Linked DNA regions of Rattus norvegicus. The protein of the gene in region 1 purifies or fractionates together with the protein of each later gene. This does not show direct contact. Links are inferred from orthologs where the notes say so. Each region holds a gene or a part of one and is shown on either strand. Other genes may lie near its edges.

What was found.
Region 2: the proteins of Cdkn1b (region 1) and Ccne2 purify together in Homo sapiens (co-immunoprecipitation; 5 studies listed by BioGRID and IntAct, with this or other methods). This does not show direct contact. The link is inferred for Rattus norvegicus from reciprocal best matches to the Homo sapiens genes CDKN1B and CCNE2.

Annotation. Positions count from the first base shown.
Region 1 is NC_086022.1:169,489,923-169,494,645, reverse strand, and holds the start of Cdkn1b (cyclin-dependent kinase inhibitor 1B), read right to left. Parts: upstream 3,143-4,723; 5' UTR 3,106-3,142; exon of another isoform or gene 2,770-3,105; 5' UTR 2,731-2,769; coding exon 2,256-2,730; intron 1,726-2,255; coding exon 1,607-1,725; 3' UTR 1,598-1,606; intron 1-1,597. UniProt on the Homo sapiens protein: Important regulator of cell cycle progression. Inhibits the kinase activity of CDK2 bound to cyclin A, but has little inhibitory activity on CDK2 bound to SPDYA. Involved in G1 arrest. Potent inhibitor of cyclin E- and cyclin A-CDK2 complexes.
Region 2 is NC_086023.1:29,081,782-29,086,517, forward strand, and holds the start of Ccne2 (G1/S-specific cyclin-E2), read left to right. Parts: upstream 1-1,563; 5' UTR 1,564-1,653; intron 1,654-2,491; 5' UTR 2,492-2,517; coding exon 2,518-2,531; intron 2,532-2,628; coding exon 2,629-2,728; intron 2,729-2,810; coding exon 2,811-2,864; intron 2,865-3,545; coding exon 3,546-3,697; intron 3,698-4,627; coding exon 4,628-4,736. UniProt on the Homo sapiens protein: Essential for the control of the cell cycle at the late G1 and early S phase.

The DNA.
Region 1 (4,723 bases):
CTTTCGATTTCTTACTCATATGCAACATATTTGCCTGAGTGCTTTTGACTAGAGCCTTATGGTTTCTTGGCCAATAAATGCCCTTTTTTCTAACAGGCCAGGTAAAAATCCAGGAGGCTCATCTGAAAAGCTAGGCCCCAAGCCACACAGACCAACACAGGTGTGATGGCTATTTAGAAAGAACTTCCATCCAATTTGCCTACTTTATAGAGGGTGTTATACGGAAGGTGGTTCTAATGGCCATTTTCCATCAGCTCTGAACAAAAAAAAAAAAAAATGCTATGTCTGTAGAAGGTATATCATGACGTTATGACTTCTAAACACAACCAATTGGAACCCTATGCCATCTCTATATCCCTTCGCTTATTTTTAAATTTCAATAAATGAGGACCTGGAAAGTTCATAATAAACTGTTAAAATCTATTTATATGCTGGGTTACGAGTGGGCTTTAGAAATAGAGACTGCTGCCTTTGTTCATAACAAGCTTATAAATTATTATATATCGTCGGCTCATATGAATAGTCAATCTATGTAAATTTAGGGGCTGGGTTACTCTAATTAGGCAAGTGGGGTGATGAGATTTTGACACATGGAAAAATCCACACTTGTGCTGGACCTTCTCAGTTGGTCCTAACATCTACCATCCATTTCCCCTATAAACATCCAAACCATCCTGTTCCAGCACAATTAGCATACGGCGCTGACGTGTTAGAGGACTGCTTCCTCTGGCTGCTCATTTAACTTCTGCTTTGTAACCTCAGGGTTAAAATCAGAAATTCTGTGGGAGCGTTAGTACTTCTGAACTTTCCATTCTAATTTTTTTTTTTTAAAGTCCCTTTCTTACTCTCCAAAATTTACCAGCATACAAGGAAAGGCACAACTTTAAAAAAAAAAAAAATTAAAAAAAAAGTACAGGGAGGTGGTGGCAAAATGCCTCTGATCCCAGCATTCAGGAGGCAGAGGCAGAGGCAGCCAGATTTCTGTGAGTTCAAAGCCAGCCTGGTCTACAGAGCAATCTCCAGGGCTGTTTGTTAACACAGAGAAACCCTATTTCGAAAAAAAAAAAAAAAAAAAAAACAAACCCAAAAACCAAAACAAAAGCAGAAGAACACAAGACACTCCTAACCAAACCTGCACTACGTGTACCTGGTTTTTCTTTTAAGAATATAAACGTAATTATATATTTGCCATTTTTCTATGGTTCAAACGGCTCAAAATAGGTTATTGGCTGAAAACGAACCTCTGGGAAATGGGTTCTCATGAAGTGAGAATGGGAAGGAAAATTGTCATTTCCAGCTTAAGTTTTAATGGGATTCAGAAGGATATAACTTTCCCTATCCTTTGGGGCCTTGGTGGCAAGTTCTTGGGACACTCATTCTGGTTCCATTTTAAGGTAAACATCTTGGGATACAAATACTGCATACAGTCCCCTCAAGTGATTCCAGCCTTCCTCAGTGTTAATTTTTTGACCTAGGAAAGTAATTCCTCCTGGCAGGCAAGTAATCTGCCAGCAGTTCTGGGGTCTGCAGCCCCCCCCCCCCGGGGGAGCGCAGCCCAGCTAGGGTGTCAGTTTTGTGCTCTTCCTCATTAACCCACCGGAGCTGTTTACGTCTGGCGTCGAAGGCCGGGCTTCTTGGGCGTCTGCTCCACAGTGCCAGCATTCGGGGAACCGTCTGAAACATTTTCTTCTGTTCTGTTGGCCCTTTTGTTTTGCGAAGAAGAATCTAAGAGGGGGGCAAGGGGAAATTTTTAAAAGAACACACACAAACCATCTTTATTATCGAGAACAATGGCTGACAGAAGTTGGCCCAAGAGTCAGGGGATGATCAACCCACTACCTCCACCCACGACCCCAGGACCCGTCATCCCCGGTAGCCTCTAAGGACACAAAATGAGGTTGTTTCCACTAACACAAGGAGTATTCTACGCCCCACGTCTCTTTTTCTCCCCCTAGCCAAGAAGGAGGCAGTTGGTAAACATCCTAACTTTTGTCACATATCTACAGCTGGCTAGAGGGGAGGAACTGTGACGCGTTAGGCTGGGGAAGTTATCACATCTTACTATCTCCGGCTTCTGACTTCAAAATCATAAACAGGCCAGGCAGTCAGCTGGGGGTATTTCAAACCTAAGCATCAAACAGGCTCGATCTCCCAGAACTAAAGCAGAACACGCAGGAAAAAGCAAGCGAACAGGGTCTAGCAAAGAGGAGCTACGGAGACAGACAGACATTTTAAGTTTTCCAAAGAATCATCACCTTCTGCCGCAGGTCGCTTCCTCATCCCTGGACACTGCTCCGCTAACCCAGCCGGACTGTCTGACGAGTCAGGCATTTGGTCCACCAAATGCCGGTCCTCAGAGTTTGCCTGAGACCCAATTGAAGGCACCGCCTGGCGGCTCCCGCTGACATCCAAGCTCTCCTGCGCCGGCACCTTGCAGGCGCTCTTGGGGGGGCGCGGGGGTCTGTAGTAGAACTCGGGCAAGCTGCCCCTCTCCACCTCCTGCCACTCGTATCTGCCCTCCAGGGGCTTATGATTCTGAAAGTCGAAATTCCACTTGCGCTGGCTCGCTTCTTCCATATCTCGGCAGTGCTTCTCCAAGTCCCGGGTTAGTTCTTCATGATTGACCGGGCCGAAGAGGTTTCTGCAGGCGGAAGGCTTGGGGTGCTCGGTTTGTCTGGCGTCCATCCGCTCCAGGCTCGGGCTCCCGTTAGACACTCTCACGTTTGACATCTTCCTCCCCGGGCGGGTGTGGACCACCGCCTCGCCTCTCTCCGAAAAAAAAAAAAATGAAATGAAATAAACAACAAAACCAAACAAAAGCGAAACGCCCCTGCCGCAGCGCAAACCCCACTTCGAAGTTCTGCGACTGCACACAGAGACGGCCAAGTGGAGTAGAGCCAGGCGAGCGACCGTCCGAGCCGCAAGAGCGCGCAGGTCTTGGGGAGAGAGGCGCAGGGACGCCCCGGCCGCGCAGCTCGAAGCTTCAGTGATCAAGTGTACTGGAGGGCGGGGAAGGGAGGGGAGGAGGCAGGAGGAGGTGGCAAACAGTCGGAGTGTAGGCTGGGGCGAGCCCGTGGGTCCCGCGAACGCAGCCCCTCTCCAAACCTTGCCGCCGCGCAAGTCTCGGAGCCGCGAGTGAGTCGGGACAAGGGATGAGGGGGGAAAAACACCCCGAAAGCACGAGCCCCCCTCCTTTTTTAGTTGCCCAATATGGCGGTGGAAGGGAGGCTGACGAAGAAGAAGATGATTGACAATGCAAGTCTATTTAAACAGAGGAGGAGCTCCATTGGTCTGGGCGCCGGGAGCGGCTCCGCCCAGGCTGGCGAGCGCGCTCTTAAGGTGGCCCCGGGCGCGGCGCCGCCGCCTCTCCGCGCTCCCGAGCGCGCCGCCTCCCCGTACCGCCGCCAGGACATTGGCTGGTCGCGTGACTACTCGGAGGTGTACGACTGCCAACAAACCTGCTCTGGCTGGCCCCGGAGAAATTAAAAATAAGACAAACAAACTAGCCAAACGGCCGGAGAGCTGGGGAGGGGCCAGCGCGGCGGCCAGGCGGAGACCCGGGAATCTAGGTCCGGGCGCTGTAGAGCTGCGCTGGCAGGCGCGCCACCGCTCCGGACTGCGACCTCCAGGTCTTTGCCCGCGAAACCCAGGGCCTGGGCCAGTGAGCTCCGAGGTCGCTGGCTGCTTGTTTGGAGCCTCAGTGGCTAGTTCAACCCACCTGCATTCGCCGAGGTGGGAATGAGGGAGGGTAGGCGAAAGATCCAGGAAACCTTGGCTCGGTGCCTGGGATCCCCCCCCACCCCCACTCCCCGCAGGGTGACTTAGCTAGGTTGCGGGAATCGGCCGCTTAGCCTGACCCCAGAAGTCTCTGCTAAGTAGGACAAGCCGGAGACGGCTTCAAAAAGGAACCAGGACTGACGACTCTTATCAGGGTGTTTCTGAATCCAAGCACTCCCATCTCGAGATTCAAAACCCTCAGTGCTCTCTCAAGCCTCTTCATCTGCTTTATAGCCATCAGACACTAAGTTTTGAAAAAGCCAGCTCTGATTTTTCTTGGTTCCCAAGCACAGTGGGAACCAAGTGCTTTCCAAGTGGGAAAGCCATTGCTATAGGCTGCGTGTGGGAACTCGCCTCTATAGTTTCTATACTCTGCAGTTCTTCTCCCCCAGAGCTGAAGCCGTTTCCTCCACCTGAGTCCAGACGCCAACTACAACAGCTCCTTCCTTCCTCCCCTTTTCTCTCCCACCAGCCTGTTGCTTCCAACCTACTCAGAACAATATTCAAATACAAGCAAATACTTTTAGAGAGCTGCAGGCTCTTGAAGGGCGAAAATGCTTTCCTAAGGGTCCAAGACTAGATTTGCAAGTGATTTATAATACTACCACCCAGGGATTACCAACACCTACTAATATTGTTTGGGTATTTTCTTTAGCTCCTTGGGCAACTTCACGTTTCTCTGTCAATGCTGAGCACAGTGGTAGAAAGTTAAAACAGTGATAGAAGTTAAAATAGGTGGGCCTGTCGTGACTCAGAGTTCAGTGAGATTTTTAAGAGCTTTACCCACTAGGATTCCCAAACAATCTTGGTTTGTGCTAAACACAATGCATCTTATTGGAAATAAAATTCCTGTTTTAGTGTCCCATAGAAGCATAGTTTTCTTATGCTATGGTGTAGTGAAACTGAATATTGACTTGTTTTCTTAGCCACATCTTGTCTGTCAGGA
Region 2 (4,736 bases), on another chromosome or scaffold:
TGCCATAACCGGTGAGAACTCTAAGCTGTAGAAGATGACAGCTCCCGCAAAGGGAGGCAACTCCCTCGCTCTCCAGAGTCGTGATAAGCAATTACTGGTTGGGCGAACTTTCCTTAGGCCAAGACAAGGTATTGGGTGTCCTCTGATCCTGTCTCCTATGTGTAAATCTGGGAAAGCGAGCTTTTGCTAGTGTAAGGAACTACTACCCCCAAGACTCGGAAAGTGTCTGAAAAGGGGGCTGTGCGGGAGGAAAGCTGAGGGCCTTCCTAGGCCCTCAAGAACAGCGTGGCACAAAAGGCCCGCCGCGGCCGGCCGCCTCCAGGTGCATCTCGGGAAGCGCCGGCCCCCGCGGCCGCTGTCTTTGGCACCCTCACACCGGTTCACTCCGGACAGGGATGGGCAAACGCCCGAACACCTGCCTCCAGGAGCCCTTCCTCTGCTTTCGCGGCCTGGGGGGGAAGGGGGGGTCTTTGTTCCCCGAGCGGCGTCCCGCCACCCGACTGTGTGAGGAGTGTCACCCACAAACCCGGCCTGGAGAGGCGCAGGGCGCGGAGAGGTAGTCGGAGCCCTGAGCTTAAGTGCCCGGATCACGCGCGGCGCGGGGCGGTCCGCCACGTCCGGGCCGCGCTCGCAGGCGGGAGGCTCTCCCGCGCAGGCGGTTCGCGCGGGCTCCGCAGGGCGCGCTGGCGGCGGGGCAGGGCAGGGCGGGGCGGGGCGCGCGGCCGGGGCGCGCACGTGGTGCCGACCGTCCTGCCCTTCGGCCAGGTCCCCGAAGACTCCGCACTCCTGCGGATGGGGAGGGCTCCCACTTCAGTCTCGAGAGGTGGTTAGCGCCAGGAGTCTGCGGAGAAAGGCTGCGCGCGGCGCAAGAACTTCCCGCGCGGGCTCCGTGAGGGAGCCGTAGGCAAGAGCGGAGTGGCCGCTCGGCGGGGCGCGAGGACAGGGTTCACACGTACCTAGTCCAGGGGCTGAGGCGCCTTCCGGTGTGCGGCCGCGGCGAGCAGGCCCTCGTCGCCAGGCGGGTGGCTCCGGCTCCGCACGTGGCGGGCGGCGCGCTCCGGAATGTTTACATTCTGCGGCCGCTCCACGTTGTGCTGCCGTCCTTTCCTGCCATTGGCCAGCTCCTCGGCCGCGGCTTCGCTCCTCCCGCAGGGGCGGGCCCTCCGGCTCCCGCTCCCCAGCCTCTGAGAAGATTTGGGTGCCCCCCTCCCGTCCCCCCAGAGGCCTGGGCGGGACAGCGTCGCCTCCCCCTAAAAGCCGAGCTGAACCGCAGCCTGACACCCCGAGATCCAAGAGCTATCGTGAGGGGAACGGGCGTGAACTGGAAGGCTTGCGGGCGTCCGCGGTGGGCCACTAACACGGGGGAGGGGCCTCTCGGACGCTGCAGCCGCGGCGCGCGCAGGTGAAGCGCCGAGAGGGGCGGAGGAGCACGGTCCGGGAGGGCAGCCGTGCGGCCACTCGGCGCCCGCGCGCACTGAGGGCAGGGCGCGGCGCGCGCGGGCGAGCTGGGCGGGCGCGGGCGGGGGAGGGGAAGGCGCCGTCCGAGGTGTCAGTCTGCGGCGCATGCGTGCGGGGCGGTCCGGGCCAGGCCTATATATTGAGTTGGCGCCGGCGCCAGCTGAGCCGAGCTGAGGAGGGTCTGGCGCTGAGAAGGTATTGGGGACAGGGGTGTAGGGGAGCGAAGGGAACCTCATCTGACGGGAGCCGTGGAAGAGGAAAAATGGGGGATGGAGTGGGGACAAGGGATAGGAGACTGGAATTAAGGGGTCCCGAGGTCGGTGCCTGTCAGGAGGCCAAGGGGAGGCACGGGATGGAGTGTATCCCCAAATGAGAGGCCACGAAAAGCTTCTCTGGGAGCGTCTCTGTCCATCCTCATTTTGGGAAGGTCTCCCGCGTGGGAGGATTAAGGTGTGGGTCTCTTCACGGAGAAATTCGTAAGCCCGGTTTTCTCCTTTAACACCCCCCCCCAATTTCCTTCTGCTCTTTTGAAATTGAGGTCCCATCACCCCTGCAAGCGACACTACCCGCCGGGTGGGGCTGGGAAAGAGGGAAAGGAGCCTGGAGGACGTGACACCAGAAGGTTCCCTCCACCCCCTGCTTCCCCGCCACAGCCGCTCTCCAAATTGGCGCGGAACCGGCTTCTCCACAGCCCGCTCTTGGAGGCTCGGTCAGGCGCCTGGCGGGCTGAGTCCAGGACAAGCCTTTCCCACCCTAGTTGGACTGGGGAGTGCATGAATGACCCAGAAGATCGGGCTAAAGGGTGCTAGGGTCCTCTGCACATTCCTTAACGCACTCACGTTCCCACTGGCCATTCAGCTAAGGAAATGAAAGCATGGACGTAAAGTTACTGAGATACTAGTGTATTTCAGAAGATAGTGCAGTGTTTCTTTTTAAAGGTTCAGGCCACCTTCTGGTAATGTTAGTTTTAGTTGGAACTTGAAGATTATGGATGACTATGTTCTTGATTTTACTTTTCTTCTCCCCCATTTAGAGGTTTCATAGGCCTCAAAGAAGAGAATGTCAAGACGCAGGTAACACTGTTAGTCTGGGAGACATGTTTCAAAATTTGCTGCTGCTTTTGAAATATCTGACTTACTAATTAAACGTCCTTTCTAAAATTCATCACAGTAGCCGTTTACAAGCTAAGCAGCAGCATGCCCGGCCCAACCAGCCAGACTCTCCACAAGAAGCCCAGATAATTCAGGCCAAGAAGAGAAAAACAGCACAGGTGATGTAAGGAACAAGAGGGAGAAAGGGAAGAATATTCCTTGCTTGAGACCTTAGTTTACATCTTCTTTTCTATTCTCCAGGATGTCAAAAAAAGAACAGAGGAGATCACCAAGAAGCATCAGTATGAGATTAGGGTAATGCAGAACTGGCCTGGGTGGGCTGGGGAAGCGTAAGAGTAGAACGGTCTGTTACTGCCTTACAGTAGGAAGAGTCTAATGATCTTAGAGGTGAACTTGGAGGGGTTCATGTGAGCCTGAGTTCTACAGCTGCAGGGTAGTTGGCCTAGAAGCAGCTGGCTCCCTTTTGTACATCCCTCCCTTTTGGAGCTGGCTGGTGTACCAGGGCCCGCCTCTATACTGCTCTTTGTTCACTTTCTAACTACAGTGGAGGGCCTGATCGCTCTGAGCGGGCATGAAAAGGATGTGAGGTCACTGTCAGTGTGGCACCCAGGCTTCAGTGTCCCTTCCTATGTGCTAACTTGGAGATGGTAATTTTCCTCTAAATGACTCCACTTGACTAGATCTTTTGATGTTTTTGCATTCAAGTATTAGAAAACACTTTATAAAGTATCCTATTCTAGATTCCGAGAACAACTACTCTTGAAATTATTTTACTTTACAAATGCATTCGTTATTTCAGTACTTAATGCCTTGTATTACCAGGCTTCCTTATCTAACTGATGGAGACAAATATGAATTATATAGCTTTAAAAATTAAGTATGAACATCAAATTGGCTATCATTTGAGGATGCAGAACAAAGGCAAGGTTTCTTAATGCACTTACAGGTTTTTCTCTTTCTGTTTTGAAATGACAGAATTGTTGGCCACCTGTACTGTCTGGAGGAATCAGTCCTTGCATTATCATTGAAACGCCCCATAAAGAAATAGGAACAAGTGACTTCTCTAGGTTTACAAACTACAGATTTAAAAATCTTTTTATTAATCCCTCACCTCTGCCAGACTTAAGGTAAAAAAATTTCAGTAACTTTATACCAAATGTTTAAGTGGTAGAATTAAAATAATGCTGTGTATTTTCTTTTGACTTTATTATAAGATAGGGAAACTGTTTGTTTGTTTGTTTTAGTATTTCCCTTACTGAGAAGTAAGCATATATCATTCTCCATGAGACAATATCTGCAAATGATAGCAAGTGATAGAGTTAAAACCCAAACCTGGGTTTTACTTCACTTGTTTGGGAAGTGCTTCCAGACATAGCGGAACTGAACTCCTTTTTAAATTGTAGTTTAAATTTGTCTAGTTAAAATGAGAACACTTTTAAATGAACAGCAACCCTACTTCTTACCAAGTTTACTATCAGTTATGATATGACTAAGAAGTATGGCTTATAGAAAATATTTATATAGTAGTTGACATTTGACTTGAATAAGCAAATTAATGGAGTCAGACAAACTATCTCTGTGCCTGATACTAAGTTCCACCTTAAAAATTATAAATGATGCTGTTTATATTTTCAAGTGTTGAAATAATGATCACTGTGATCATATGCTTACGTTTACATATACATCTATTTTTCTAGCCTTGCTTTAAGAGTTATCTTGCTGGGTGGTAATGATGCATGCTAGCACTCAGGAGGCAGAACAGACAGATCTCTGTTAATTCAAGAGCAGCTTGGTCTGCAGAGTTCCAGGATAGCCAGGGCTGTTGCACAGAGAAACCCTGCCTCAAAACCAGTTATCTTAAACCATAGCTTTTATAAATTATAAAAAATCAGATTGTGTAACATTCCTGAGATTTACCAGTAAGGTGGAAATCTTTCCATTTGTAATTGCAAGGTGGAGCTGGAGATTTGAAACTTGTACTTACGCTATTGTAAACAGAACTTGGATAGGTCACAACTATAAATTATGTGCTTTCTCCCCCACCCCTCCCCATGTAGCTGGGCATGTTCACAGGAGGTTTGGCAAAACATGCTACAAAAGGAAAGCAGATACGTGCATGACAAACATTTTGAAGTTCTGCATTCTGACCTGGAACCACAAATGAGG